4 linked regions of the Caenorhabditis elegans genome follow. The protein of the gene in region 1 purifies or fractionates together with the protein of each later gene. This does not show direct contact. Each region holds a gene or a part of one and is shown on either strand. Other genes may lie near its edges.

Region 1 (8,285 bases):
CTGCCATTTAAAAGACCGTACGTTCTGAAAGGAGAAAAAAAGGGTTTTTCGGGTTTTTAGCTTGCTCAGACTCATAAAGTGCTCAAAAATGGCTGAAATTGGTTAAAATCTCGTTTTTTGTCAACTTTTCCACTTTTTTTGGTGGTTTATTTCACATTATTTTGTTGACGTAGGTACACTTAAAGCCGATAGGTGTTTTTAATTTAATTGTTTAATTTTTTATCGACTTAAATGAACCTAAATTGACGAAAAAATGTGATATAAACCACCAAAAGATGCTAAAAAGGATGATAATTCAATAAAATAGTGTTTCAGCTGATGCGGACAGGAAAAATAGACGAAATTCGAGATTTTAGATAAAATTAGCTATTTTTACGAGGTTTTGAACGCTTATTTTGTGCTTTTAGTCTATACACGCAAAAAAACCTCCTTTAAAGGTGGTGTAGTCGAATTTTTTATTGCATTATTAGACTCAAAATTATCTGAAAACACCGAATTTTATGATGAAACTACTTGGAAACTTCTCAAAAAAAAGTTATGAAGGCTTAAAAAATGTCCTAAAATTAGTTAACATTTGAAATTTGACCGACTTGTCAATGTCGCAGCGGCTGGAAACAATTTTTTTTAAATCACCGTCAAATTTTGAGTATGTAATGTAATTATCTTGCGTTTTCAACTTCACTTAGGTATTTTAAAGTCGATGGACGGCGAGATTTGGTAAAAAAAAACAATTTTAATCTCGCCGTCCATCGACTTTAAAATACCTAAATCGAGTTGAAAACGCAAGATAATTGACCTGTATACTCAAAATTTTACGGTGATTTCAAAAAAATTGTTTCCATCCGCTGACAAGTCAAATTTCAAATTTTAACTAATTTTAAGCCATTTTTTGAGCCGTCATAACTTTTTTTTGAGAATTTTTCAAGAAGTTTCATTATAAAATTCGGTGTTTTCAGACAATTTTGAGTCTAATAAAGCAATTTAAAAAATCCTCCAAAAATTTAATTGACAATTATAATTTTTTTCAGTGACGTCTTCACCGGAATCCGTGCTCCACCGAAAGGTGTTCTTCTATTCGGACCACCAGGAACCGGAAAAACAATGATCGGGAGATGTGTCGCTTCCCAGTGCAAAGCCACTTTCTTCAATATTTCAGCATCGTCGTTAACCTCAAAATGGGTTGGAGAAGGTGAAAAGCTTGTTCGTGCTCTGTTCTCAGTTGCTCGTCTGAAACTTCCGAGTGTTATCTTCATCGATGAGATCGACTCGTTACTATCATCCCGGTCGGAATCGGAACACGAATCTTCACGGCGCATCAAGACAGAGTTCCTGGTACAGTTGGATGGTGTGAATACGGCTCCAGATGAACGGCTTCTTGTATTGGGTGCCACAAATCGGCCACAAGAGTTGGATGAAGCTGCTCGTCGACGCTTCCAGAAGCGACTGTACATTGCGCTTCCGGAGCCAGAGTCGCGCACACAAATTGTGCAGAATCTACTTGTAGGCACGCGTCATGATATCACAAATCATAATTTGGAGCGGATTAGAGAGCTTACAGACGGCTATTCTGGAGCTGACATGAGGCAATTGTGCACTGAAGCAGCGATGGGTCCTATCAGAGACATTGGAGACGATATTGAGACGATTGATAAGGATGATGTGAGGATTCTGAATTAATATCAAACACTTGTGATCGGTGTAATCGCGCTCCACGGCCAATTGAAATTGCCCCGCCTCATAATGCTGGGTCTCGTTAGGAAGAAAAAAAATCCCATTGCTTTTGATTATGCGTTAATATCGAAGCTTCACGTGCATTTTCAAGAATCATTTCGGCATGAAAACCAGAAAGCAACTGAAAATAAATCAAAAAATGCATATAAACGGATGATTTCAGTAAAATCGAATTAAAAACTTGAATTTGCCGCCAATATTACGGTAACACTGAATTCGGAGAATGCGTACTGCACGACATATTCGACGAGCAAAATATCTCGTAGCGAAAACTACAGTGATTCTTTAAATGACTACTGTAGCGCGTGTGTCGATTTACGGGTACGATTTTCGAAACAATGAATCTCGTAAATCGACACAAGAGTTACATTAGACATTTAGAGAGTTACTGTAGTTTTCGCTATGAGATATTTTGCGCGTCAAATATGTTGCACAATACGCATTATATAAATTTAATGTTCCTCTTATACATAACGAGACCCAATGTTTAGCGTTAGAGCGCGATTGCACCTCAATTTAAAAAATCTCATTTTCCTCCGTCCACATAATAAAACACCTCCATGTTCCGAAAATGAACACTTTTCGAAAATTTATGAAATGTCATGCCACAACAACAAACAATTTCGCAACTCTCTCACATGACTGACGAATCTTATTATTTTTTATTTACCATTTGCCGTACGAATTGTCACATTTATTTTCTATTTTTGCACTCGGTCATCATAAAAATTAGATAAACACTCGAGCTCTGAAACATCAAATGCTCCGGTTTTAATCAACTAATCGATGAAAATTTCAGATTCGTGCCGTTACTGTAATGGATTTCGCCGAAGCAGCTCGTGTCGTTCGGCCAACAGTCGACGATTCTCAATTGGATGCCTACGCGGCTTGGGACAAAAAATTCGGTTGCCTTCCACCTCCTTCAATATCCCGTTGAGACCTTCAGAATTGAGCTGTCGAATATGTGTACTATAATTCCATCCACTTCTTCTATTTATTTATTTTTATTTTCATTGAAATCTTCTCCTGTATTATGCATTCCATCTCTTTTCTATATTATGATCTCAAAACGATCCGTATTTCATTGTTTTTTTTTATATTTTTTCTGAAAATTATTATATATTTTCAATTTTTAAACATATTTTTCATTATTCATTATTGAAATTTCAAGGTTTATTTTACCTTTCTCGTATATTTTTTTAATTTTTTTATTCAAATTTCTAGCTTTTTACCATTGCCAGCCAAAAAATTCCAGAATGCCAATTCAAGAAATCAAGTCAGGAGAGGAGGTTGCTGCGTTCATTAAGGAACCATCTCCAGCTGTTCTTCATTTCTACGCATCGTGGGCTCCAAGCTGTGAGCAAGTTAATCAGCTACTGGATGATTTGCTCGCTGAAATTGCTCTGCCGCTTCGTGCCGCCTTCATTGACGCTGAAGCTTTGCCCGGAATTTCGTTGAATTTCAAGATTACTGCTGCGCCGACGCTTGTATTTTTTAGTGTAAGTGAGCAACGAAAAAACAAGAAATTGAAATTTGTGAAAAAAAACAAAGAAAAGTTTCGATTTATTCTGAACTTTTTTTTAGGAAAAAAGTCATTGAAAAACGTTAAAAACCACTGAAAACCACATTTTGAAATCATTTTTTCGTTAAAATACCAACAAAAAACCAAAAAGTCCTATTTTACAAAATATTTATTCAGATGGGTCTCGGCGCGCAAAAAAGTTTATGGTAGTTTTTCATGCAATGTTCAATAAAAATTGCTTCGTTTTCTTTCCATTTTTCTGCTAAAAATGTTTATTTGTACCTAAAAAACTGGTTTCTAAAAATTTTAACAGAAAAAAATGAAAAGAAAACGATAAAATACGCTAAAACAAAGTAATTTCGTTGAAAAATGCAAGAAATAACTACCATAAACTTTTTCTGCGTGCCGAGACCCATCTGAATAATTCCGTGCGCCTTTAAGCGAAATTTTACAATACATCCAATTCATAATAAAAAATGATTAATTTCAGAATGGCAAAGAAGTCGACAGAATCGATGGCTTCGTGCCAAAAGAGATCCAATCAAAAGTTGTTCTTGTTGCCAGCCGATCCCTTTCCCAGAGCTCATCGGATGCTTCATCTACAACCTCTTCCACACCTTCACTGACTCCACAACAAGAAAAGGAAGCTCTAAATGCCAGATTGGGTGCGCTGGTCAATTCTCAAAAAGTCATGGTTTTCATGAAAGGAGATCCATCGGCGCCACGTTGTGGTTTCTCGAGAACTATTGTCGAACTTTTAAATTCACATAAAATCAAATTCGGATCCTTCGACATTTTCTCGGATGAAGCAGTTCGCCAAGGATTAAAGGAATACTCGAATTGGCCAACTTATCCTCAACTCTATTTCGATGGAGAATTGATTGGAGGGCTTGATGTCGTCAAGGAGGAGTTTTCAGATCCACAATTTATCAAGCAACTTCCGAAAGTTGGAGAAAATAGTGAGGGGGGATCACTTGAAGATCGACTCAAAAAGCTTGTCTCATCGCAAAGATTGATGCTATTTATGAAAGGAGATCGGGAGACACCAAAGTGCGGATTTTCACGAACTATCGTTGATTTGTTGAACAAGGCTCGTGCTGATTATCATACTTTTGATATCTTGGAGGATGAGGAAGTCAGGCAAGGGCTTAAGGTTAGCTCTCAAAAAATGTTGTCGAAAAATATGGGGAAATTGCTTTAAAACATGCCTTTGGTACCACAATAACCAAATATCACCGTAAAATTTTTTTATTTTAAATTTTCTAAATTTTATATGATTTTTTGAAAATTGAAAAAATCTCAGTTGAAAAAATCTCGTCGAATTCCGATTTGAACCTCCCGCCAAGTGATTTTAGCGATGGAGCGCGCTTGCTCGTTTTTGTTTTTATTTATTGTTATTGTTTTTCTTATATTCCACCGATTTTTCTTGTTTTCAGTGTATTTTTTCAGGAAATTTGAAGGAAAAGTCAAGAAAAATGTGATTTATCGATTAAAAATCAACATTAAAGGCTTAAATCTTTGAATTGAACTATTTCAGGCTTTTACGCCTTTAATTTTTGATTTTTAATCGATAAATTACATTTTTCTTGACTTTTCCTTCAAATTTCCTATAAAAATACACTGAAAACATGAAAAATCGGTGGAAAATAAGAAGAAGAAAAACACAATAAATAAAAATAAAAACGAGCAAGCGCGCTCCATCGCTAAAATCACTTGGCGGGAGGTTGAAATTGGAATTCGACTCAAACTGAGATTTTTTCAATTTTCAAAAAATCATATAAAATTTAGAAAAAAATTTAATAAAGTTTCTTACGGTGATATTTGGTCATTGTGGTACCATAGGCGTGTTTTAAAGCAGTTTCCCCACTGGCACTACTTCACCTTTAACAAATTAACTTTACAGAAATTCTCCAATTGGCCAACTTATCCACAGCTCTATCTCGACGGAGAGCTCGTCGGAGGGCTTGATGTCGTCAAGGAAGAGCTCTTGGATACGCATTTCCTTCGTCAGATTCCAAGAATTAGAAATGATTAATTAATTCCATTCCACGCTACTTGTCTTCTTGATATATTCCCCGGAAACCCCCCGTTAATTGCCTTTCAAATTACTTTATGTGTGTGTAAACTATTTTATTGTCCATATGAAATAGTACAGAGATTGTTCATCAGTTCGATCGGTCATAGAACAAGATCGTAGACAACGCGGAAGCAAGTGCTACAAACAGGAAACCCATGATTCCGGCGAGTGGTTTGAATACTGAAATTAATTTCACTGTGTTTGAGTAGAAGGATTTGTTGAAAAGCTGTGGCTATGGCTGAAATCGTGGCGAGACCTACTTTAAATAAGTACCAAATGTTGCAAATTTTTACGATATCACGACATTCAAAGTGGTCTGGCCAGCCGCAACACATTTTTTATGCCAAAACTACGGTACCCGGTCTCGACACGAAACATTTTAAACTAAATTCAAACTGGTGTGCGCCTTTAAAGAGTACTGTAATTGAAAACCTTCTTCGTCGATTTTGCATAGTTTCTTGTTTTATTGATCAAGTTTTACACATTTCGACCAAAAAACTATAAAAAATCGATGAAAATACCGCAGCAACGAAAGTTCTGAAATACAGTACTCTTTAAAGGCGCACACCCATTTGAATGCAACAAAAATGTCGTTTCGAGACCGGGTACCGTAAGTTGGCCCAAAAAAAACCAAAAATTACCATCCTCCAGGCAAATTTCTGCGGAGAGACTCGAGTCGATAAGGAATGTACGAGCTGGATGTCCCGCCAAATACCACAAGTTGTAATCATTCTGAAATTCTCAGTAGAGCGAGTTTGCTTACGCATATCACACATACCATATCAATAACACGATTCTTATTTTTAAGAACCGCAAACTTTATCGGATGTTGGGTCAGAGCCTTCGAAAATTGACCGCCAACTGAAAATTTGACGTTTTCGTTGAAGAGGACCAAAATGCACGGAAGAAGCGATGCATTGATGGACCGGAGAGACGGGAAATGGATTGGAGAGCTGATATTTGTGTTGTTCGCAATGATTATCGATCCGTGCACGTGGCGAACACGTTTGTAGACTTCAATTGGAATTGCGATGTCAGCTGAGAAAGAACCGGAATTTTGAACTACCAGGTCTCACAGCGAACAATTTTTGTTTGTTTTTGATATTAGATGACTTTCAAAAAGATGCACTGCGGCCACGTATTATGAAGACGTAGAAAAATGCGTCTTTTAAAATCGAGGTGCAATTGCGCTCCACGGAAAAATGAAATTGCCCGCCCCTAGCCGTTGGGTCTCATTAGGTATTTACGGCAAAATCGTAAATACTGAAACTAGGCCAGCTTATTTTCAGCTCCTAGGCCAGAGGAATTATTGATTTGTTAAATAAATTTCACACGATGTTGCAAAGACTATTTTTTTACTTTTGAGAATCAACTCGCCTTTCTTCCACTTGAAGTACACATCCTACAGGAACACAAAATTCTGAAAATGCTTATTGCACAACATATTTGACGCGCAAAATATCTCGTAGCGAAAACTACAGTAATTCTTTTAATGGCTACTGTAGCGCTGATGTCGATTTACGGGCTCAATTTTTTGAATATTTAAATTAATTTATTTTCGCTTAGCGAGAGCTATATTCCATTTTCAAATAAATTATGTTTTCAATCAAATGTGTTGCGCGATACGTATTCTCAGGGGGGGGAGGGGGGGTTAAAAAAAAACATTTTTTACTAATTTCGGCATTAATTTCATTAAAAACAACGACGAATATAACAGAAAAATTGTCAACTAATTAAAAACCGCCAAATACCTAACGAGACCCATTGCTAGCGGGGCGGAGCTTTTTCAATTAGCCGTGAAGCGCGTTTACAAATCGGGCATACTTCTGAGGCCCCATAGAATTCGAGCATGCAAACTTACTCAAGTTCTCAATCACAACATCCCCAGCAACATGAGTACACGGATCCTCCTTCAGCAATTCACTGAGCTGCTTAACGTCCAAGTTGGATCTCACGCTCAAATCGGATCCAGAGCACACATTACGGAATCCATCGACGGCAGAAAAGCAGCAGACGGCGAGAAGTAGAGTTTTATAGACTGGAGAATAAAATTAAAAAAAAAGGAATATAAATTACAGAATAGAACTAACCTTCAGACAGCATTGAAAATTTGGTTGAAGGGATTGCGAAAATTCGAGAAACACGATAATTTATCGAAAACAATCCGGGAAATGGGAGAAATTAAATTTGAAATGTGATAAGAGCATATGAAACGTGGTGCCACATGAAATATAACTTTTAGAAATTGGAAATTCACGTAAAAAACCATGGCTCATTTTTTGTTGGAGTATAATATTGTAAAAAAGAATATTTTACTCTCTGGCTTCACCATATATTTTACTCTCTGGCTTCACAGAATATTTTACTCTCTGGCTTCACAGAATATTTTACTCTCTGGCTTCACCGTATATTTTACTCTCTGGCTTCACAGAATATTTTACTCTCTGGCTTCACCGTATATTTTACTCTCTGGCTTCACAGAATATTTTACTCTCTGGCTTCACAGAATATTTTACTCTCTGGCTTCACAGAATATTTTACTCTCTGGCTTCACAGAATATTTTACTCTCTGGCTTCACAGAATATTTTACTCTCTGGCTTCACAGAATATTTTACTCTTTGGCTTCACCATATATTTTATTCTCTGGCTTCACAGAATATTTTACTCTCTGGCTTCACAGAATATTTTACTCTCTGGCTTCACCGTATATTTTACTCTCTGGCTTCACAGAATATTTTACTCTTTGGCTTCACAGAATATTTTACTCTCTGGCTTCACCGTATATTTTACTCTCTGGCTTCACAGAATATTTTACTCTCTGGCTTCACAGAATATTTTACTCTCTGGCTTCACCGTATATTTTACTCTCTGGCTTCACAGAATATTTTACTCTTTGGCTTCACCATATATTTTATTCTCTGGCTTCACCATATATTTTACTCTCAGGCTTCACA
Region 2 (8,434 bases), on another chromosome or scaffold:
TGTCGCTCGAACAGGTATTTTTGAACATAAAACAATTTCCAACGTTTTTTGTTCAAATTTCGTTGTTCAGATGCTTCGGGTTCAATTTGCTCAAAGTTCGATCGTCATCTCCGATGTATTCGTTGTCGGGGACTCCAGCAGCAAGAATCTGTCACGGATCATCTTCTCAAACTAAACTATGCTCCAGTTTATCAAGCATCGCTTTGCCAACTTATTGAAAAGTCATTGCATATCGGAGATGATTCTGGAGAAATTGAGTGTGAAGACTGCAAGCAGATGGTTTGTCCATTTTTTTAAAAATTAAATAAACAATTCAAATTTCAGAGCCGAATGGAGTGTAAGAGAAAAGTTCGGGAGCTCTCCCCCGTTCTTCTAATTGACACAAACGCTTCATCGAATGGATTTGTTGAGTTTTGGCGTCGGCAATTATCTCTCTTTGAACGAAAACCAGGAGGCAATCGAAGTTCTGCATTAGGAACGGTGCCAGAGTCACCTTCTGAGAAGAAAAATTGCAGATTTGGAACGGATTGTCGCAACAAGTAATTCAATTTGTAATTCTGTTCATATTAAAATATCTTGATAATTTAGGAAAACATGCAAGTTTGTTCATGGACTCGTCGATTGGCCTGCAGAACAGACAAAACTTCTTGAAGACGTGGATTTACCAGAGTGGGCACACTACATTCCATCCAGAATCGCTGCTCAACTTTGCGAGGGGATTGTTCGTTTGTCTGATGTTTCGGATCTCCCAGACTATGATGAGCCGTCTGCTGTGATTTATGAGCTTGATGCGATGATTCATGCTGTTGGTAATGGAGAAAACGATGTAAATTGGACTCATCCAGTTACATTGTTGAGAGAAAGTCCCGTTATTTCATCGTCCTGGACTTTAATCAATGAGCAGCTAGTGAGCCGATTGCATGATCATGAAGCAAGGCACATAGACGGAAGATGGAAACTTCCCGCGCTTTTGGCTTATAAAAAGAAGAACTTCGATGTGAAAACGAGTGAGGATATTATTTCCAATGATTTGTTCCTCGCGGAAGAAAATTTGGCGAGCAACGGGATGACGTCATTGGCCGTTCAATCATTGGAAGAGCTGCCGAAAGAGAAGGAATTAGTCGGTTTGGATGCAGAGTTTATAAAGATTAAGGTAAGTAACTAAGTTTCGAATACCCTATATTTAAAAATCCGGAATTTAGTAAAAAAAAATTCAATTTACAGACCGATCTACTTGAATTCGACGGAAAAACCGTGCAGATGAGAGCAGTTGGTCGAGCCTCCTGTGTCGACTCGACAGGCGAAAGGATCATATTCGACGATCACGTGAAGCTCACTGATGACGTAGAAGTTGTCGACTATCTCACGAAGTTTAGGTATGCTTCACTTATTTCGAATTCAATCTTTATTCACTTTTTTTCAGTGGAATCGTGAAAGCTGATCTGTGTCCAACGACTTCCGAGAAATACTTGACAACCCACAAGCGGCTTCTTCTACGAATGCATGTTTTGATTCAACGAGGAGTCACATTTGTAGGACACGCTCTGCATAATGATTTCACAGTGCTCAATGTGCATGTAAGATTGTTTTTGCAAAGTTCTAGCTAAAAAGCTAATTTTCAGGTGGCAGAATCACAGATAATCGACACAGTGACTCTGATGCGTCTTGGCACCCAGAGAATGTTATCATTGCAGTTTCTGGTTAAGGAGATTCTTGGTGAGGCCTTTCCTTTAACTTCGCTTGTCTAGCTCGGTTCAGATTTTAAATATAAATTTTTCAGGCGAAACTATACAAATGGAAGCTCACGACTCGGTGGTTGATGCGAGATATGCACTGAAGCTGTACCGAAAATATCTGGAAATCAAAGAGCAAGGACTTCTGGGTTCAGAAATGCGTCGAATCTACACTATTCTCCCGTGTCCATCGCCAAACCAAACATCGTCACCTCTGGTTGTATCTACTACACGAAAAACTCCAGAAGATACGAATCCAGCAGATGCTGCACCGAAGTCGGTTTAAATTGAAGGCCTTCCAGATAAGCTTACTGTAAAAGTTCGTAGAAAACCAGAAAATTATCACTTTCAGCATAATAATTATTATATATTTACTTACGTACCAGATTATCTCAAGTTCACTTAAGCTATCACTTTGTATATCAATTCCCCATTTTGCGAGTCAATTCATGTATTTTAAATACTCGTGTAATCTCAATATTCGTCCCAATATTATTTCTTGAAACATTCCCCTGTTTTTCTCAAAATATCATGTACCATTTATTTTTGTTTCTGTAAATAATACAATTTTGCAATTTATTAGCATTTTTAATTCTATATTCTTCTCTAAAAAATACAACTTCAAAAGCGGTGTTCTTGAAGTTATTCAAACCTCGGAAAATGATAGCCTACCTTTCTATGGGCTATTATTTCAAATTGAAATTTTCAATTGACATTTTGATTTGAAATAACTCGGAAATGAAAATGATCATTAAAGAATCAAATACATATTCTTTAAATTATAATTCGAGAACTAATTCACAAGTGATTAAGAATATAACAGGATACATTGTGATTAATTTGATTCATTTTAACTTGTAATTTTTTGTTGAAGTAATTCCGTTGGTAAGAAAAAATTTTATGGTCTAATTCATAAATAAATACGACGTATTTCTCAAGGAAAATATTTTTAATTTTTATCTACACGAACTTTAACTATAGAAGTGAATGGAATTATGGTGAAAGCCTCTTGAGAAGCCACACATCAACATCTCTTTCGAATACTATTCTATCGTGAAGACGATCCGATTGTCCTTGCCAGAATTCAAAATATCGAGGAATCAAATGATATCCACCCCAGGATTCTGGTTTCGTGATTGCTTGAGCTCCTTCCCGTACAGATAACTCTGTCAGTGCAACTTTTTTGGATTCTAAGAATTCTCTATCGGGAACCACTTTTGATTGATCACTTGATTTTGATCCGATTCGACTTGCTACTGGTCTAGAATTCCAATAAGCGACGGCCATCTCATCTGGAAGCTTCTCAACAACACCTTCAACTCGAATCTGAAATTAAATAATCTCGATTTCAAATTTTCAGCAGTTGAAAATTATACCTGACGATTGACTTTAGGCCAATAAAAGAGCATCGCGGCATTCGGATTCTCTTCCAATTGATTTCCTTTGCGGCTAGTATAATTTGTGTAAAACGAGAAGCCAGTTGGTGTGTACGCTTTCAGAAGAACCATTCTGGATGATGGACGAAGATCTCTGAATTAATACTTTCTAGGTTTTTTTCTCCATTTTGAATGTAATATGCTCACTTTCCGACGGTGGATAAGGATACTGCATTGATTTCTTCGAATGTTAAGTCAGATTGTGAAGCGACGTTACGAAACCAGATATCAAAAAGTTCGAATGGTGACGTGGTTGGTAACTTTGATTCGAGTAGATATGGATCATGAGAGTTTAGATATTTTGCCCGAATGTCTGAAAAATCAAGAATTATTGGTAAAAAATTATTATAAACTCACTTTGAATATCAATAGATGGTGTCTCCATAACGTATGATCTACGTGCCAAGTGACGATATTCGTGAACTGAATATGACCGAATGACCGTAGGAAATAGAAACAGATGATAAGAGAAATACATATATCGTGTGAGATGAAAAGACACCAGACGGTTAGAGTGTGAGATGATACAATCATTTAATTTATCAATTACCTAGTGATAAAAAAGATGACAGACGACGAGGAACGACAAACATTTCGAGGGATCAAGTGAGATTTCTCTGAAACGAATGTATTGGATCTTGGGGATAAGTCGTGGCGAGACCCAGAACATGTGCCAAATAACTAGTTGTTTTTTAGTTGAAAATGAGAGTCAGCTGCTCAGAAATATATGAAAGAAATCTACATTGAAGTTTTGACATCCTCGAAGCTGCTTCAAAAAATTATTTTAATTGACACAACTTTTCGTCCTAATGAGAGAAACGAGTTCACGAGAAGACACTAATAATATTGGAAAAGGTACGTTTTTTATTGAAAAACTGAACTTTACCTCTTGAAAGTGAAAAAGAGTTAATTCAATATTATTTATTTGCACTTGGTGTTTTAAAGTCAATTTTGTATTCCAAAAAAGAATAAGTTTTTGATCAACCTGTTTTTCATGCATGCCTGCATTGATTTTTTTTTGGATCTCCACACAGCATTTTAAAATTCACCACTTTTCCCCCAAGAGGACTCTCAAAAATTCACGTGCTAACCGCTCTTTTACATACGAGCCCGCTATTTGCTCATAGTCAGCTCCCCGATGCTGGTGTTCGAAAACAACTCTTTATTTTCAGGGCTCCCCGTTTTCAGTTAAACTGGCGGCTTGACCTTATTGGTCTTTATCAGTGCAATTTAACCACAACGAAGAACATATTGTTACGAGAAAGTAAATTTTTAATAAACTCGAATTTTTTTAATCAACCCGAAAAAAATAAGCTTTATTTGTATTTTAAACAACATTTTGTTGAATTTTCTGTTCTGTGCATTTTCGCGTCACCTTCAAGTCCGCAAACACCATTTGTGTACCGTACCACACCGGGAAAAATACGCTGGCGGGAATTGTCATCGTCATTGTCTTACTCTCTGTTTCTTACCAGTTTTCTAATGTTTTATCCGTTTATATTTTGATAATTGATCAATTAAATGATAATTATCATATTTTAAAATGATATAATCAGTTGGTGTGTTTTCCGCAAGCACTTATTGATTTCTGAGGCTCCGACAATTTCCATTCCGTTATTTCATTTTTAATGGGGTTATTCAAGTAGTGTCGGAAAATTAAAAAGTGTAGAAAAGTTACGTCACAGCTGTATTCAAGTAAACAAAAACATGTATTTAAATACATTTGTGACGTCACAAATGTATTTTAATACATTTTGCTACATTACTTGAATAACCCCATAAAATTCAATACTTTTTACTGCAATTAAAATCTTAATTTCAGCACCTGAAATGTCTGGAGGAACCATTATGGATACAATGACTTCACTTCCACATCAAAACGACCAAAACGTCATTCGTCACCTCACCAATCTCGGTGAGTCCTTTTCCATATTTCAGAATTTTCCAATTTGTCCCAAATTGAAGTAAAATCACCAGCATCTGGGGACGATGATATCAAGAAGAAAGAAGATTCGATCATGGAATTGGGAAATATTTTGGCTCAAAATAAGCAAACTGAAGAGCTCCGAAATATGATTGAACAAACGAGGCCATTTTTGGTGTCATTGGGAAAGGCAAAGGCTGCAAAACTTGTCAGAGATCTTGTTGATCTATGTCTTAAAATTGATGATCAAGATGGAGATATTAAGGTGAGCAGAATAATAAGCTTCAAATATAAACCCAACTATTTTCAGGTTGGACTCGTTAAAGAATGTATTCAATGGGCCACCGAGCAAAATCGCACTTTCCTCCGTCAAACACTCACTGCTCGTCTTGTTCGCCTCTATAATGATCTTCAAAGATACACTCAGGCTCTTCCACTTGGTAATATATTTCGCTGTAATATTTGAAAATAACTGATAATCTACTTTTCAGCTGCCGATTTGATTCGTGAACTGAAAAAAGTCGACGATAAGGACGTTCTCGTGGAAGTCGAACTTGAGGAAAGCAAAGCGTACTATAATCTTTCCAATATTGGTCGTGCTCGTGCTTCTCTCACTGGTGCTCGTACAACTGCCAACGCAATCTATGTGAATCCTCGCATGCAAGCAGCTCTCGATCTTCAATCGGGAATTCTTCACGCTGCCGACGAGAAGGACTTCAAGACAGCTTTCTCATACTTTTACGAAGCATTTGAGGGATACGATTCGGTTGATGAAAAAGTGTCCGCCCTCACCGCTCTTAAGTATATGCTTCTGTGCAAGGTAATACTCAAAAATAATTACTATTATATTTAAATCCTATATTAAATTTTTCAGGTGATGCTTGACCTTCCAGATGAGGTGAACAGTCTTCTGTCCGCAAAACTTGCTCTTAAATACAATGGTTCTGATTTGGATGCGATGAAGGCGATCGCCGCAGCTGCACAAAAGAGATCTCTTAAGGATTTCCAAGTTGCATTCGGTTCTTTCCCACAGGAACTTCAAATGGATCCAGTTGTCCGAAAACATTTCCATTCTTTGAGTGAACGAATGCTTGAAAAAGATCTGTGCCGTATTATTGAGCCATACTCATTCGTTCAAATTGAACATGTTGCTCAACAGATTGGAATTGATAGATCAAAGGTAAGAACCAAAAATATTGTTTTTTAAATATAAATGCAAAAAAGTTGTTAATTTTTACACAAACTTATAAAACTTTCAGGTCGAAAAGAAGTTGTCCCAAATGATTCTCGATCAAAAACTTTCGGGATCTCTTGATCAAGGCGAGGGAATGCTTATTGTATTTGAAATTGCTGTTCCCGATGAGGCGTACCAAACTGCTCTGGATACAATTCATGCAATGGGAGAGGTTGTCGATGCACTCTATAGTAATGCTTCGAAAATTAACTGATGATTTCTTCGAATCTTCATTTTTTGTTCTGCCTTGTTTTTGTACAATATCTCGACTTTTCCCATTTTCTAAATTTTCTTCGATTTTCCCTCACGGTTCAGTCCTCCGTTCTCCTTTTGAAAATTTATTATGTTTTTTTATAATTGACGACTCCCTCTTTTTTAACCTAGACCTTTCACTTTTCTCCTCCTCTGGAAGCATCAAACTATCCATTCTGCATTATTTTGTAAACGTTTAAATATCCCCCGAACCCGACGTTGTTCAATAAATTTAAGTTGCACAATTGTTTCAGTATATAGAAAGTCTTTGCAAAACCGTTAAAAGAGTTCCTATTTATGTGGCGCGAAATATCTTCTAGCGACTTTCTACCGTACTAATTATTTTTCAGTTCAATTATACGGTAGAAAGTCGCTATGAGATATTACGCGCTACAAATGTAGAAATTATATCTTTCTGATGATTACGTAATATCCAAATCTGTGATGTTAATAAAAATTTGGAAATTCAGTATATCAAATGACGCGTTCTTTATTGCGAATTGGTAAAAGGGGAATGAAAGAGAAACCTCTACAAATCGTAATGATATCAGATAACAAGGACGCAAAATTGAAAAAAGGTTATGGGAACGATAAATAGACAAAGACATCTAGCGCGATTTTAAATGTTTTCACACAATTTAAAAAGATTTCTATACACGGAGGAATACGTCGAAAATGGCGCAATCGATCTATCGGATGTACAAGTCTTTAAAATAACGAAAAAGCGGGCAGAAAACGTCGAATTTACAGAAAAAGACCACCACCCTTTCTGAAAATTCAACCATCATTAACTTCAAGCCGTTTTTTCGTTATTCTAATCTAAAAATTGCATGAAAAGGGTAATTTTGGGGACGAGGAAAAAAGGCAGAGATTCTAGTGTGAACATATGTATATTAATAAAACAAAAATAATAATCGAACATCACGCATAAAAATTTAAAAAAGCTACAAAAATTGCGAAAGGGGTAGTATATATCTCAAAAATTTGAGTTTGTGTTGAAGCCCCGTGTTTGAATGATTTGGAGAGCAGAAAATGAAGAGGGAAAAAACAAGGAGAAAATCAAGAACAGCCCGTATTTCGACATAAGAAGCTATCCAATACAAAAATGTGATGAGAATAAAGATCAGAAAATCGGGAACCGAAAGACCAGATGAGAAAAATCAGTTGGTGTTTGGGTTTTGCTGTTGATTAGCAGCTCCGGTATTGTTTCCTAAAGGTCCTGGGGCACCATCTGGTTGTGCTTGTGGCTGAGATCCTTGGGCTGGGACACAAGTGTTGGCAACATTTTGGAACAATCTGAGAGAAATATTGTTGTAAATCGTCTACGAAAACATAGTAAGACAATTGTATCGGATTATAAAACATTTGCCTAAGAGAATAATAAATTAAATTTACCTCTGTATTTCTGGTGCACAACTGGTGAACTCATAACGCCAGAAGTTGTATGTTGGATTCTTGATGAGCTCTATGAACGTTATAAGAAGTCCCCATGGATGAGGTCGGAGAGCTACAAGACGCTCGAACAGAATACGTGTGATCTGCTCTTGAATTGTGTCATTTGTAGAGTTCTTGAAGAGATACAAAAATACACAGCTGAAGTAGTGTGTATGAGCATTTGGATAACGAAGTTGATTGGCGATTCCGTTGAAAAGAAGGTAACGTCCTGAAAATTAGATTTTTAAATTGAAAGCGTTTTTCGAAAAACCTCACCTTCGGTATCCAATTGAATTGCTAAATTCTGGAAAATGTCCATATACGATGTATGAGCTATGTTCAGCGTTGAGATACGTTGACGTCTCAAGTGCAAGTGCTCAATAGCTCTGATTCCGACGTACAAAACGAGAGCGTTCATTAC
Region 3 (6,966 bases), on another chromosome or scaffold:
ATTTTTTTCCAGATATCAAATATTTGAATATCACAAAAATAACCAATACAAACTGTCAATGTGGAGTTAATAGTAATAAAGAATATCATCAAATTTTAGAACGCCTTTTGATATTTTTTCTAGAATTTTTGAAGATAACTGTTATGTAATCCTCAAACTTGAAATACTATATCTTGAAAACTTCATATATTATATTTTTATGTTGATCTTACCTGTTAATTCCTATACAAACATTTACCTGACAGCTGGAGAAACTGTACCCGATACACACAAGTCGTTACACATACTAACTTGTAATCCAGTTATGAACATCTGTCATTACATGACCTGCATAGCTAATTGATAACAGTATTCTCTAAAGAGGAATCTATGAAGTGCCATGCCGACACCAGACGCTTGACGAGTGCCATGACACGAGTCGGGAGATGCTGCAGAAACAATGATGACAGCCGTCTTTTGATGTCTTCGTGTCTTACGCAACATTACATGCATTCGTTCGGGATATTGAGGTATAATTGACTCAGTTGTGCAGAAACGTTATAGATACGGTTTTTGGGGAGGGGAATTAAAAAATGGATTTACCGAGTTATATTAAAATAAAAGTTAACGCCTGTTAACTTTTACTTGGCCTTTTATTAAGTTTTTTTGAAGTTCGAATCCCGACAACTTTATCAATTTTGAAATTGAAATTTTCTTATTTTTAATACAGAAAGATGGTACTTTTTTGCACTGTTCCTGTGACTTTATTTTGGTCTGAAAATAAAAAATCTTGCACCCACGAAAAACTGCTCGAATTTAATTTGAATTTTCTGAGGTTTCTTTTCATGAGCTGTATTTTTTCTTAAGTCACTTTGAATCGTTATATCTCTGCTTGTTTTGAAGTTATCTATAAACAAATAACTACAAAATTATAGAAAAAAAATATGTTGTCAATTGATAATTTTTCAATAGAACAGACGACTGAGATATAATCTGCCAAAGTTGAACGTTTTTATGTTAATCTAATAATGTTTCTCAATTTCAAAAGTTGGCAGCTATAATCACTTTTTTATCAATGAGCTCGTACATGTTCACTTATCTTTATGCTAATTTAAAATCATTACTAAACCGATTATATACAATAATCCGTAAATTAATTAACCGGCAGTCTAAGAGGGGGTAATCGTTTTCATTCCCATCTTCTTCCGCCTATTAATGCAGTACGGTATGTTTTCGTTTTTCGGTGGAAAAAAGATGGTAGTTATCGACAGGTGTCTTGACTCGCGCATTTGCGGTTCTTTGGAGTAACCTTCCCATTGATGGAGCAACTGAAAGCGCGGAGCATCCGACCGAAAGAAAGCAGGTGACAGCGTGGTAGGAAGCATACACAAAAGGATGAAGGTACGAAGACAATTATGGAAAAGGATGGGAGGATCACGCTTGTCAACATTTCAGGTTTGAAATTCCGAATTTGGAAGTTGGGGATTTATTCACTAGAAACTAGTTGATATGGGAACTCTTCTGAATATATTTATTCAACTTCCAAGATGTTAATTGTATATCCACTGCAAAATTCATTAAAAATGCAGTGACAGTTTACTAGGAGACAAACGTCTTTTGATGGCTTCCGTATAACCAATGATTTTTAAAAGTTTTCTGAAGACATTGAATTGCCGGAGAGAATCTAAAATTGTTGGCTGAAAATTCACGCAAAATTTACAAAATGTTCGGTACGTTGCAACTAGAGAGTGTGCTCTATTTTAATGACTTATATCTCGGCTCTCTATAGAGAAATATTTTGCACTTATCTTGTTAGTTGACAGTTTTTGAATACAACAAAAAAGAACGAATATATTCGCTTTCAAAGTAGAGCAAGGGTGGTGCAAGTCTATTAGGGGAAACACAGTAAATTAATTGTCCCGTTCATTGATGAATTACAATTTTCAGGTGGAATAATATATTTGATTTTCTCGATCTTCCAAGTATCCAAATGTATTCAACAAAATTCCAGAAATCAAGGATAAAACTGAATGAAAATGTGTTAATGGAATCGATTTGATAGGTGTTTCTGCTTTAAGCTTGAAAAAATTAACTTAAAAAATAAAGTTTTAAACGTATTTTTCTACTATTTTTCCGTGGTACCACGAAGAACCATGATAATCTTGTTTTTTTAAACTACTCTCAAAAATAATTTATTTCACATTATTGTCGCAACAAAATGGCGGAGAAATCGCAAGCTCCCGTCTCGAATTGAAAAATTTCAAATGGAGAGGAAACTGCTCACGAAGCTCGATCCAAAGCAAGATCAGGGAAGAAGGATCGGGTCGTGGCAATGTCTCCAATGAATCGACAACGCAAAAATAAGTCGAATGTTTTAAATGAAAAGGATGAGCGTCCAGGTTGTATTATTAAAGAGTTAGTTTAATCTTGTAATAATTCTGAAATTAATGAACATTTTATAGAAAATCAAGCGTTCGTTCGATGGCAAAAACTCAACCAACATCAGGTCGAACTATTTCTCTTAGTGAGATTAATAAGCCTATTGCTTTGTCGAAAAAGAATACTGAAATCAAAGCAGCAGTTGAGATTCAGAATCGATTGACGAAGAAAATGGCGAAAAACTCTGAGAGAAGAAAAAAAATGGCACATGGACCGGAGATGACTGCACAAAACCGAACACAGGAGAGAATTGATTTTGTTGAGTTCCTCGATCGTCATTATCAAGTGATGCAAGCCGGTGTAAGTACGGTAAAAGTGGGATTTCACCTTGAAATTTGAATGTTCTTGCGCTTAGCACCGCCCATTTTAAAATCAATCAGCGAACTTTTGGAGGGAATTTAAATAAACTGAGGAGTTTTTAGGTTTTAGGTTTTTGACTGATCTTTTTCTTTTTCACGAATTCTTTTTCCAGGTTCACAAAATGCACTACACAAAGGAGGAATTTGAGAATGTGATCTACGAGGCTCAAACCATCTTCTCATCGGAAAAAGCTCTTGTTGACATCGATCCACCATGTGTCGTAGTTGGAAATCTTCACGGACAATTCAACGATCTTATCAACATGTTCATTCTATTGGGACGTCCTCCTGAGACAGTTTATGTTTTCACTGGTGATTATGTTGATCGAGGAATGATGAGTCTGTATAATGCTCTTATTCACCTATAAGATCTGCTATCCCGAGAATATTGTGCTGCTCCGTGGAAATCATGAAATTGCAAGAGTCAATAAAAAATATGGATTCTATGAAGAATGCGTGACTTCGATTCCAAAGTGTGGAGAGGAGATTTGGGCTTTGTTCCAGGTATGTGTTCTCATTCTAGACTTTCTATATTTAAAAATATTTCAGCGTTGTTTTAACAATCTTCCAATCTCCGCTTTGATCGCTACAAAGATTCTATGCATGCATGGTGGATTGTCTCCTGCTCTGACATGTCTTGATGTTAGTTAACAGAAGTCGTTTTTCCTAAAAATTCCATTTCAGGAACTTCGCAATCACCCGAAACCAATTCGTAACCCATTTCGTGGAATTGTGAATGACATGCTCTGGGCTGATCCGGATCCATCTGTTTTTGAATGGAAGACAAGTTCACGTGGATCTGGCTTCACCTTCGGAACAAATGTGATTGATGACGTTTGTAAACGTCTTGGTGTCGAGCTTATCATCCGTGCTCACCAAATGTGTTTCGATGGTTATTGGGTATTGAGTGGACGGAAGCTTATCACCATCTTCTCTGCTCCCATGTACTGCAACTTCTACAAGAACACTGGATGTGTGTTGAAAGTAGACGAGACGTTGGGGATTCAGACGGTCGCATTTGTTCCAGAATCGGAGAATATCGAGAAGATCATTGAAGAGATGAATCGTGTCTGGGATATTTCTATTGATTGTATTGAGTAATACTTGGAATAAAGTTATGGAATGATTTCAATAAGTTACAATTTTTTTAAACAATTCTCAAGAAAAATAGTCACACATCCTAGAACACGAGCAAAGCGTTAAAACAAGGTGACACACATGATAAATAGTTTATTCAGAAAAGAATTGTGAGGATCGTTTCCATTGGCATTTTGGTCGTTCAAAGGGCTAGAGAATGATTGGAAACTGAAAAACCATATTTTTGAAATTGTGTAGTTGGCCTGTTGTGTAGAGGCCAACTACACAAGAAATGTTTTATTTATTCTATTGACGTGACCGATGACCTTTGAAGAACTATGAAAATGACATCGACACGTGGCCAAATATTGAACTCGAACTTTCTCTGTATGATGATTTATTCTGGTTTTAAGTTTTACCAATAAACCCTGCTAATATTCAACTCTTCGTGTCTTTGAGACATAACACAAAGGGCTGAGAATGATTGGAAACTGAAAAACCATATTTTTGAAATTTTCAGAATTGTCTACTAATATACTGTTTGATGGAAAATCCAGGTCTTCGCTGTACAGTTTATAATTTGGAATTTTATTCTCTTTTTAGCGGCCACTGTAGCTGAGATCGTGGAGAGACCCATGCAGAGAAACTGCTTGTGCCTTTAAATTAGAGTATCAATTTTTCACGGAATAGCGATAATCGGTTACAGTCCGTTCTATCTAGAGGTCTTTAAACTTTTAGTCAAATTAAGTCTGTGCTCAGGCACAATAAATCTGAAAAGAATTATAACTCGAACCGATTTTATGATAATTTGAAATTATTAAAATTACATCCAATTACAGTACCCTCGTGACAACGAAAAGCGTCTCTTTAAATGACTACACTGATTCTCCGAGTGGTTCTTGCAACGATATCAGTAATAGTGGTCGCTACAAGTGCCAAAATATAATATGTTTAGATTATTTAATAGTATAAATTGAAGTTTTGTATTTCAAATTGCATTTCAAAAAAGGCAAAATTATTGTGTTTCTTATCGTATAAATTTCCTTTTTAAGTTGATTATTGCAACGAAATGAACAGTTTTTTGTTTTTTTTTTCGTACACTCCTGCCACGAATCATTCTATTCTGTAATTTATGAAAGGAAATTACAGAATAGAATGAGTATCTGCCAAAGCCTCGTAATGCTAAACAACGCGCGCTACGACACTCCGTTCCACAAAACAAATTTCAATTTGCCTCTTTCATTTTTCTTGCGCTCGTTTTTCAAACATTTTCAGCTCAAAACACGTGTTATTTTTATAATTTCAAACAATTAATTTTATGTTTTCAGTTTTAAACATGACGGCCGCTACAGAAAATCGAACTGTTCGGCGTAATGGTCCGGGAACAAAACGAGCAGTGAGTTAAACGTTTTGAATTGAAACCAAAAACATTTCGTGTTGCAGGATTGGAATAACTGGTCGCCGCTGGCTTTTGAGGAAATGGATAGTGCTCTGAACATTCAACAGTACATCCAACAGACGATTAAAGCGAATCCAGCTGATGTTGCCACAATTTTAACTCCTCCATTGGGTAAGAAAGCTGAAACTTTATTCAAGAATTAGAAGAATGTTCTTTAAAAATAAGAAGAATTCAGTTTCATCCTGAGTCCACGAATTATTTTCTAAACATCTTTACTTCAGATCAAGATGAAGGAGTGTGGAAGTACGAACATCTTCGTCAATTTTGCATCGAGCTCAATGGCTTAGCTCTTCTCCTCCAAGTTTGTGTTCAATTTTATTACATCTTCAAGTATTGGGTTTTCAGAGAGAATGTATCCCAGAAACCTGCCAACAAATGACCGCCACCGAACAATGGATTTTCCTGTGTGCCGCTCATAAGAACCCAAATGAGGTATTTTTCTAACGAGAAAATGTTTATAAACTTCTTTAATTACAGTGTCCAGCGATCGATTACACACGTCATACACTAGACGGAGCCGCCACCTTGCTCAACTCGAATAAGTATTTTCCAAGCCGAGTCAACATCAAAGAAATTTCAATTTCAAAGCTGGGATCTGTAGCTCGTCGCGTCTATCGCATATTTTCGCACGCATTCTTCCATCATCGTAAGCTGTTCGACGAGTTTGAAAATGAAACTCATCTCTGCAAGCGATTCACCACATACGTGTCGAAGTACAATCTGATGCAACAAGAGCATCTTATTGTTCCCATTCTTCCAAATCAGCAGCAACAACAACAAACAACGGTTCAATAATATACTTGGCTTCTCCAAATTTTCTTGCACAAATCGCTAATCCATGATAATTTAAAAATATTTCTATTCTACCCTACATCTCATTCCTACCGTCATTTTTTTCTCCATTCTCTTTTTTTCCAACACAGCTCCGTTTTCTAACTTTTTCTTCTACATCCAGCTTTCGTTTAGTCACAATCTCTCCGATGGGAAAATGCACATTCTTTCTTCCCTTGTACCATTTCCATCCATGAACTTCCTACTCGATACATTTCTCTCATTCGCTAATGATCCCTATTCGAATCTATCTCAAGTAATACTTGTACGTACCAGATGAGCTACAAAGTAGAAAACTTGCGAATAAATTAATAAATGAGAAGTCACATAATATGATTTTCTGTTGTAAACAGTTGCTTGCTCCTTTATTTATTTATTTTTCATTTTCAGTTTCTCAAATTCTCTGTGCTTTCACACAGGGAACACTAAATTGTTAAACTCCCATGGATCCTTCTGAGAATGTATTCAAATACGAAACTGCCTACGATCTTCTGGTACGTCTTGGAGCAGAAAGACTGTTTTTGAGAACATGCCTTTCAATTCTGGATCCGGTTCTAGAACTTCATCCAGGAAAATGCTACGAAATTGATGGCGATTTAGGAGTTGGTAAAACACAGGTATGAATTCATATATTTTATTTAGAGAATTTTCCATAACATTACTAAAAGTTTTTAAAGACTCCAAATTTTTAATTTATCTTTTTCTCTTCAGATATGCTACTCATTTGCGGCGAAATTTCTTCAAACCAAAAAAACTGCAAAAATGGGCTGGATCGGTGCGACTCCTCTACGAACGGATCACCTTCTTTTACATATTGAACAT
Region 4 (6,495 bases), on another chromosome or scaffold:
ATGACGGCACTTGAAAACCCCTGAATTGAAAAATAGTAATGTATTATTATGGTAAACAGGGAAAATTGTTTGTATGTCAGACAGGAATTTTGAATAAATAAAAATCAACTAGAATGACATTGGAAATAATATGCAATGAACAATTATTTTTATTTCAGAGAAATGAGAGCAGTTGGAAGCTTACGATTCCCGCTTATGCTGCATCACGAGTGATTGGAAAAGGCGGATCGAATGTTAATGCTGTTCGCGAAGCAACTGGAGCCATCATCGAAATCAATAAAATACAGGAATCCAACAAACAAGCTGAAAGAACAGTTCTAGCAAAAGGAACACCAGAAATGGTGAGATACGCGATGAACATAATCAATTATATGATATATGATGCCGATGTCTTGGTCACCGATGCAATTCGGACAGTTCTTCGCGGCAATTTGTCAGTTGCTTCGTCATTTTCATCTGAAGGTACATCGAAGAGTGCAGTTGATTCGACTTATGCTCCATCATCCATTCCAAAATCTTTATCTTCAGCAAGCATTGCTCGTCAATCTGCCTCACCTATTCCACAACAATCGTCTCAGAGATCCGCTAAATCACACCATCATCAGAAGGACTCGGGTGGCGGTAATGTGTGGCATCAAAGAATGGCAGCACGAGAAGAGAAAGTTGAGCCCTTAATGGAAACGAAACGAATTTCACAGTCACCGAAGCAAGCTCCACAAATTCCATCTACGCAGCAGCAATCAAAGTTACAATCCCGGCAGGATCAAGCGTCTGAGACTCTTGTTCGAGTTGCTCCTGCAGAGAACTTTGTTGCTCCAGTGCCCGCTTCTTCAATTGCAGCTCCATCGAGACCCAATCGTACGTTTTCCTTCTCCTTGTCTCTGAATAACTTTGTTTATTTTCAGAAAATGTTCTTGATCGTGTTATTGCTCCATCACTCCGGAGAGAGCCAACCACAACTCCTCTGATTCAACCAGTTCATCCAGTTCAATCTGTTCAATCTGTTCAACATATGCAACAGCAACAGCTAGCGCGACCAGAACAAAAGCTTGCTCAGCCATGTCTTCCAGACCCAATTGGTCAGCGATACTCGCAACCAATTTCACGACCACAATCATCGGTTCAAGTTTCGCAGTCTTCTTTCTCCAAAGCACCCGGAACTCGCCCTTCAACTGATTTCTCTCGTGCTCCTGGTCCACCACAGCAACAACAGACTCAAAACAATATGACTACAGCTCGAAACGAATTGTTTGATGAACAACTTGCTTTTGGTCAATTCAAACCGACTGGAATGAATTCTGTTGCTACCGTAATCCCTGCCAAACCTTCAGTAAATAATCAAAACGACGACAAAAATGGAAACAGTGATGACTTCGATTTTTCCAAAATGAGAATGTTTGATGAAGGCAAAGTCGGGAACATATGGGGAAAATCAGATGAAGATTCAGCTTGGGGAGGATTGTTTTCTCAATTCCTTCCACAATTGGGTGCCAATTCGAGTTTGAACAATTCCAACTCAAAAAATGATTCATCGGTTAGTTTAACAGCATTGAAAACAAATTTCTAAATTTTTATCTTATTTCAGAATGAATGGGGACAAAACGAGTTCATATCGCAGCTTCTTATTAACTCATCACTTCCTAATGCTACTTCGAGTCCACAAGGTGCTTCAACCATATCATCAGCACCAGTGCAGCAGCCATCTACGTCTTCTGTTACTACTGGATTATCTTCTTTGGAACTGAAAGGTTGGATGCCAGCCTCATTTGCACCGTCTGCTCGTGATCCGAATAGATCTCAACCACCCCTGTTTGCAAGATCTCAATCGAATTCTGTTGCTAATAGCACTTCCACGAATATTCAACAGCAACAACAACAGCAAATTCAACACCTTCAACAGCAGCAAGCACTACAACAACAACAGCAAAGGATTCAGCAATTCCAGCAACAATACCAACAGCATCAGTCTCAAAGTTCTCAGCAACCAAGTGACTTGATGTCTTCAAAGTTTTCAATGCTACAATCACAACAACAGCAGCAGCAACTTTACAATCAGATGCAGTCGCTAGGTCAAGATGGACAGGGATCCAATCTGTATAACCATGTAGGGATCCGTGATTTATGTCTGAAAATACGTTATTTGATTTATTTGCAGCTTGCCGCCCAATTATTGACTCATCAAGAGAGTTCTACAGGAGCACCTGGTCCAACAAGTAGTCAACTTGCAAATAGCTACTATCCATCACCTTCGTATACGGATGCCAGTGTTTTAGGGCAAATTAGCATGCCGTCATTGTCACAGAGAGGAATAAAGCAATTTGATGGATTTAATGTAAGTTTAGGACAAATTTGATGTTAAGATAGCAGGATCAGTTTAAAAATTAATGAATGGAAATTTAGAATGACTCTGATGGCGTTATTGCTGCTATTCTCGAGCAACAACAACAACAGAAGAAACAAGGACTCGCACAACAATCGTTCATGCATAACTCTCAACAGCCACAGCCGTTCGGAGCTCCCAGCAACGCTTCTGCAAATCAATCGCGACTCGGAATGATCCAACCTCGGCCCCAACCGCCACCATTTGTTGCTCCACAAGCTCCACCTGGATTCTCTTCTCTTGGAAATGCATCTTCCACGACGAACCCATCTCGAACTTCTATGCAGCAAATGTATCAGCAATACGGACAGAGTTCACAGCAACAGCCTTACGGTCAGATGCCTCAAGCGTAAGTTCTACGATTTCTAATTAAATATTTGTTTATTTATTACAGAATGGATTGGAACCGACTTGGACAGCAACAGCAGTCTGCATCTGGCCAACAAAATCATCAGTCATCCTCGTCAAATAAATGGTCTTCCAACTGGTAGATATCGCTCACAAAATCGTCTTCTTGTCAATTAGTCCCCCCTCCCCTCATAATAATTCGGTGTTTACTTGTTTTTTATTCAACCGTGAAACAATATGTCTTCCCGGTTGAATTGCATCCATTTTTCTTTATTTCGTCTCCTCGTTCCGGGTTTTGTAACACTTTTTCTTCATTTTAAATCTAGCCTTTTTTGGTCCATTTTTTCTTTCAACTCTCAAATGTTCGATCTTTCCCATCCCTAGCAAGTGTTTTCTTGCGAGCTCAGCCTTGTGGAAATTGTACTCTTCTGTCCAAATTATTCCCGTTTACCCATTTTTTGTTCTTTTTATATCTCCCCCGACATACTACTTCTTTTTTTTCGGTTATTTTTCAAGTCTTCCAACACAACACATATGTATTTGAGACGGATGTCAAATGGTCCCAACTTTTTCTTCCCTTTATTGAAAAGTGTGTCTTATTTTTCACTTTTGATGTTTTACTCGTTGTTTCATATGAAACCTGGGCATTTATTTCATTGCTAATTAATTATGACTTTCTTCGCTTTATGTTGATCCATGAATCGTGATTCTTGAAAGTATACAGGTTAGGCTATTGAAATGTACAACTCGAGGTTTTGATTCCTATATCTTGAGAATTAAGTCGGTAGATGTTGAAAGAACAAAAATTTTCAGAAAAATGATTTCATCAAAAATGCTCACAAGACTGAACCGGAGCTTTGTACAAGCAGGTGATACTGGTTCCAGAAATTCTTTCATTTTTTAAAATTTCAGCTCGATCAATGTATATTCAAGTTCAGGAGACACCTAATCCACTTTCTTTAAAATTTTTACCTGGTTAGTGGAAACTTCACTGTTTAAAATCTGAAATGTAGTATTTCAGGTCAACAGCTTCTCCCAGACGCCTCGAAAACATACGATTTCAGCTCAGCGGCTACAGCAAAACAAAGTCCACTTGCTATGTAAGGAATATTCCAAATTTTAACTACCATTCAGATAAAATAGTATTTATTTGTAAATTTTCAGAAAACTTCTTCGAGTCGACGGAGTGAAGCGTGTGTTCTTCGGAGAAGATTTTGTAACTGTCACGAAATCAGATGAGACTGTTGACTGGGCTCTCCTCCGTCCGGAAATCTTCTCAACAATTGCTGATCACATTCAAACCGGAAAACCTGTCATAAATGAAGCTGCAACTGTTTCCGACCAAGTGGAAGAAGATGATGAAGTTGTAATGATGATCAAAGAAATTCTAGAGACACGTATCAGACCAATGGTACAAGAAGATGGTGGAGATATCACTTATGTTGGTTTTGACGATGGTGTTGTCAAATTGAAGATGCAAGGTTCATGCACAGGATGTCCAAGCTCTGGAGTCACTTTAAAAAATGGAATTGAGAATATGCTCACATTCTACGTGCCTGAAGTGAAGGAAGTTATCGAAGTTAAGGATGAATCCGATGATCTTGTGGAACAAGAGTTGAAGAAATTTGAGCAATCAAAAGGAATCAAAGACTAATTGATAATTGATTCGTGTATAACTAGATTTGTTTTTATTAGTGTTTGCTGCTAGAGATAAATGTTCAATGAATATTTATAAAAACTTTTTTATTACTTTGAAAGTCGTATTAGTAGAATTGGTTTATGACTCTGAAATCATCGAATCACGTCAAAGTTCAACGGCCCAGTCCAAATCAGTGATATCAGTTAAAAGACTTATCACCCGGAAAAGTGGAAAATTGTGCTTCGTAAATTGATAAGAAATCAGTCAGAGTGCTGCTCAAAATGTTGAAACAAATTCTTCTCGTCGCTATTATTTTAAATTTAGGAGTATCTGCGTATAAGAAGAAAAGCTTGATTCATGTTAGTTTTTTTTTCAAGTTTTTGAATTTTCAATGTTATCCAGACGCGGAATTTTGCTATTTTTGCGGCTGGTTCGGTTTCTGAACGACATCATTTTAATAAATGCGGAAGGTACGCGCCTTTAAAGTGAACTGTATATCCAAACTTTATTTGCTGCGGTCAATTCTTCATAGTTTTTCGAGAAAAATATGTTTTTTTATTTATTAAACAAACTACATTTTGAAATCAAAATACAAAAATCTTCAGAAAAACATGAGACAACAACTTTTGCATTTATCAAAATTTTATCGTGACGAGACCGGGTACTGTCGCTAAAGTTCGCGTCTGAGTAATTGTGTCTGTAAATTATAAATTTAGAATACTGTAGAATATAAATTTATCAGAATCATGACAAAGTGATCGTATCAAACGACGACTTTATTGGATGCCCAGTTAACAATGATTTCTATTACAATGGAACCATTAATTCACCATTGTATCCATACAATTATCCTCCAAATGACAAGTGTTACTATTACATTTCTGCTGAACCAGGAAAAGTTCTCAAGATTTCATTCTCTCATTTTGATTTGGAATCTTGCTGTGACTTCATCACAATTTATGATGGACCAACTGTAGTGTCGAAGAAACTTGTACAGTAAGTTTCTATTTTTTCACAATTTTAAATAATTCAAATGTAAATAAGATACGTACGACGTCGTACGTATATAAGAACATACGCACAAGCAAGGGCTGTCTTTTATAAAGGTGTTTTAGGTTTTTGGTTTTATGCCAAAAATTGTTTTCATAAACGATTTTGTATTTTTTCGTTCCAAAAAAGTTAAAAAAGGGTAAATTTTGGTACTGAGGTAAAGTTATTTCGCCTGATCACAGGCACAAAATGACAGGCAGGCACATAGGCAGGCAAGAAATGTGGGACAAACGCCTTAAGATGTGCATGCTCAAATAGATTATATCTTTGAACTTTTCATTGACTGGAAATTGAAACCTCATTTATCTACTTTCCGAGTAAAAATGTCAAAAGTTCAATTATTAATTGACATGTACGATGCACCAGCATCATCTTCATAATCATCATCCATTTCCATTGATTGTTCATTGATTGTTCCTCTACGTTCCAGAAAGTTTCTCCAATTTGGTGCCACCAAAACGTTCAATGCACTTTTGGCTCTAGGAACATCAGGAATAAAACTGAATCGAGATGCATTCGGTTCAGGGAGCAATCTTTAAAAAGTTATTGTTGAATTTCGAATCGAGCTAAAAATTCTTTAAAAATTAACATACATTTCACAAGTAGCTTCGACTTTCTCCGTATATCCAGCCACTGAGAATAACCATCCTTTGTAAGAACATGCTGCACTAGTTGATCTTCCATAGATCAACTTCTCCGGTCGTTGCTGCCATTCACCAGTTCTGTGCCACATCCAAATCTTGTTTTGTCGTTCGGCACCATCAAATCCTCCAACAATAAGCAATTGGTTACCGTGGTTGAGAAGACAATGACCAGTTATTGGATACGGTAGATCAACAGTTCGAGAGAAAACATTTCCAATTGGATTGTAGACTTCAACAGACGCAAGAATCATGTCACCATTGAAACCACCACTAACGTAGATTTGATTCTCAAATACTTCAGCAGCACAGTCGGAACGCATGTCTGATAGGCTTCTAAAAATATAAAGCAGATTAATCGGGATACAAGCAAAACATTATAAAGATGCAGAAAAACCACTTTTGAAATCGACATGCAAACATGCTCTACGGTCAAT

The links.
Region 2: the proteins of glrx-3 (region 1) and rpn-6.1 fractionate together in Caenorhabditis elegans (co-fractionation; one large-scale study listed by BioGRID). This does not show direct contact.
Region 3: the proteins of glrx-3 (region 1) and mob-4 fractionate together in Caenorhabditis elegans (co-fractionation; one large-scale study listed by BioGRID). This does not show direct contact.
Region 4: the proteins of glrx-3 (region 1) and nfu-1 fractionate together in Caenorhabditis elegans (co-fractionation; one large-scale study listed by BioGRID). This does not show direct contact.

Annotation. Positions count from the first base shown.
Region 1 is NC_003283.11:4,336,010-4,344,294, reverse strand, and holds glrx-3 (Glutaredoxin 3), read left to right. Parts: upstream 1-2,986; 5' UTR 2,987-2,987; coding exon 2,988-3,230; intron 3,231-3,743; coding exon 3,744-4,406; intron 4,407-5,156; coding exon 5,157-5,288; coding exon of another isoform or gene 5,289-5,292; 3' UTR 5,293-5,412; downstream 5,413-8,285. Other genes in the region: figl-1 (Fidgetin-like protein 1), read left to right, coding at 1-17, 1,029-1,659, 2,531-2,668; irld-1 (Receptor L-domain domain-containing protein), read right to left, coding at 5,419-5,510, 5,972-6,062, 6,109-6,368, 7,192-7,368, 7,421-7,433.
Region 2 is NC_003281.10:6,957,498-6,965,931, reverse strand, and holds rpn-6.1 (putative 26S proteasome regulatory subunit rpn-6.1), read left to right. Parts: upstream 1-3,930; 5' UTR 3,931-3,978; coding exon 3,979-4,024; intron 4,025-4,991; coding exon 4,992-5,084; intron 5,085-5,134; coding exon 5,135-5,358; intron 5,359-5,403; coding exon 5,404-5,533; intron 5,534-5,584; coding exon 5,585-5,913; intron 5,914-5,967; coding exon 5,968-6,273; intron 6,274-6,352; coding exon 6,353-6,541; 3' UTR 6,542-6,822; downstream 6,823-8,434. Other genes in the region: PolyA-specific ribonuclease subunit panl-2, read left to right, coding at 1-14, 71-279, 325-539, 589-1,153, 1,225-1,376, 1,424-1,577, 1,623-1,716, 1,781-2,019; F57B9.1 (Putative pyridoxamine 5'-phosphate oxidase), read right to left, coding at 2,727-3,059, 3,110-3,263, 3,317-3,482, 3,527-3,554; CCR4-NOT transcription complex subunit let-711, read right to left, coding at 7,740-7,875, 7,975-8,242, 8,290-8,434. UniProt on the Caenorhabditis elegans protein: Component of the lid subcomplex of the 26S proteasome, a multiprotein complex involved in the ATP-dependent degradation of ubiquitinated proteins. In the complex, rpn-6.1 is required for proteasome assembly.
Region 3 is NC_003281.10:8,219,915-8,226,880, forward strand, and holds mob-4 (MOB-like protein phocein), read left to right. Parts: upstream 1-5,182; 5' UTR 5,183-5,190; coding exon 5,191-5,250; intron 5,251-5,297; coding exon 5,298-5,424; intron 5,425-5,534; coding exon 5,535-5,614; intron 5,615-5,658; coding exon 5,659-5,745; intron 5,746-5,790; coding exon 5,791-6,108; 3' UTR 6,109-6,466; downstream 6,467-6,966. Other genes in the region: rfs-1 (RAD51-like protein 1), read left to right, coding at 6,588-6,761, 6,856-6,966. UniProt on the Caenorhabditis elegans protein: May play a role in membrane trafficking, specifically in membrane budding reactions.
Region 4 is NC_003282.8:10,383,872-10,390,366, forward strand, and holds nfu-1 (NFU1 iron-sulfur cluster scaffold homolog, mitochondrial), read left to right. Parts: upstream 1-3,541; 5' UTR 3,542-3,545; coding exon 3,546-3,597; intron 3,598-3,640; coding exon 3,641-3,703; intron 3,704-3,749; coding exon 3,750-3,828; intron 3,829-3,892; coding exon 3,893-4,382; 3' UTR 4,383-4,480; downstream 4,481-6,495. Other genes in the region: Ankyrin repeat and KH domain-containing protein mask-1, read left to right, coding at 159-858, 906-1,534, 1,586-2,104, 2,156-2,332, 2,401-2,729, 2,775-2,871; R10H10.3 (CUB domain-containing protein), read left to right, coding at 4,649-4,726, 5,110-5,363; Spermatocyte protein spe-26, read right to left, coding at 5,752-5,950, 6,011-6,394.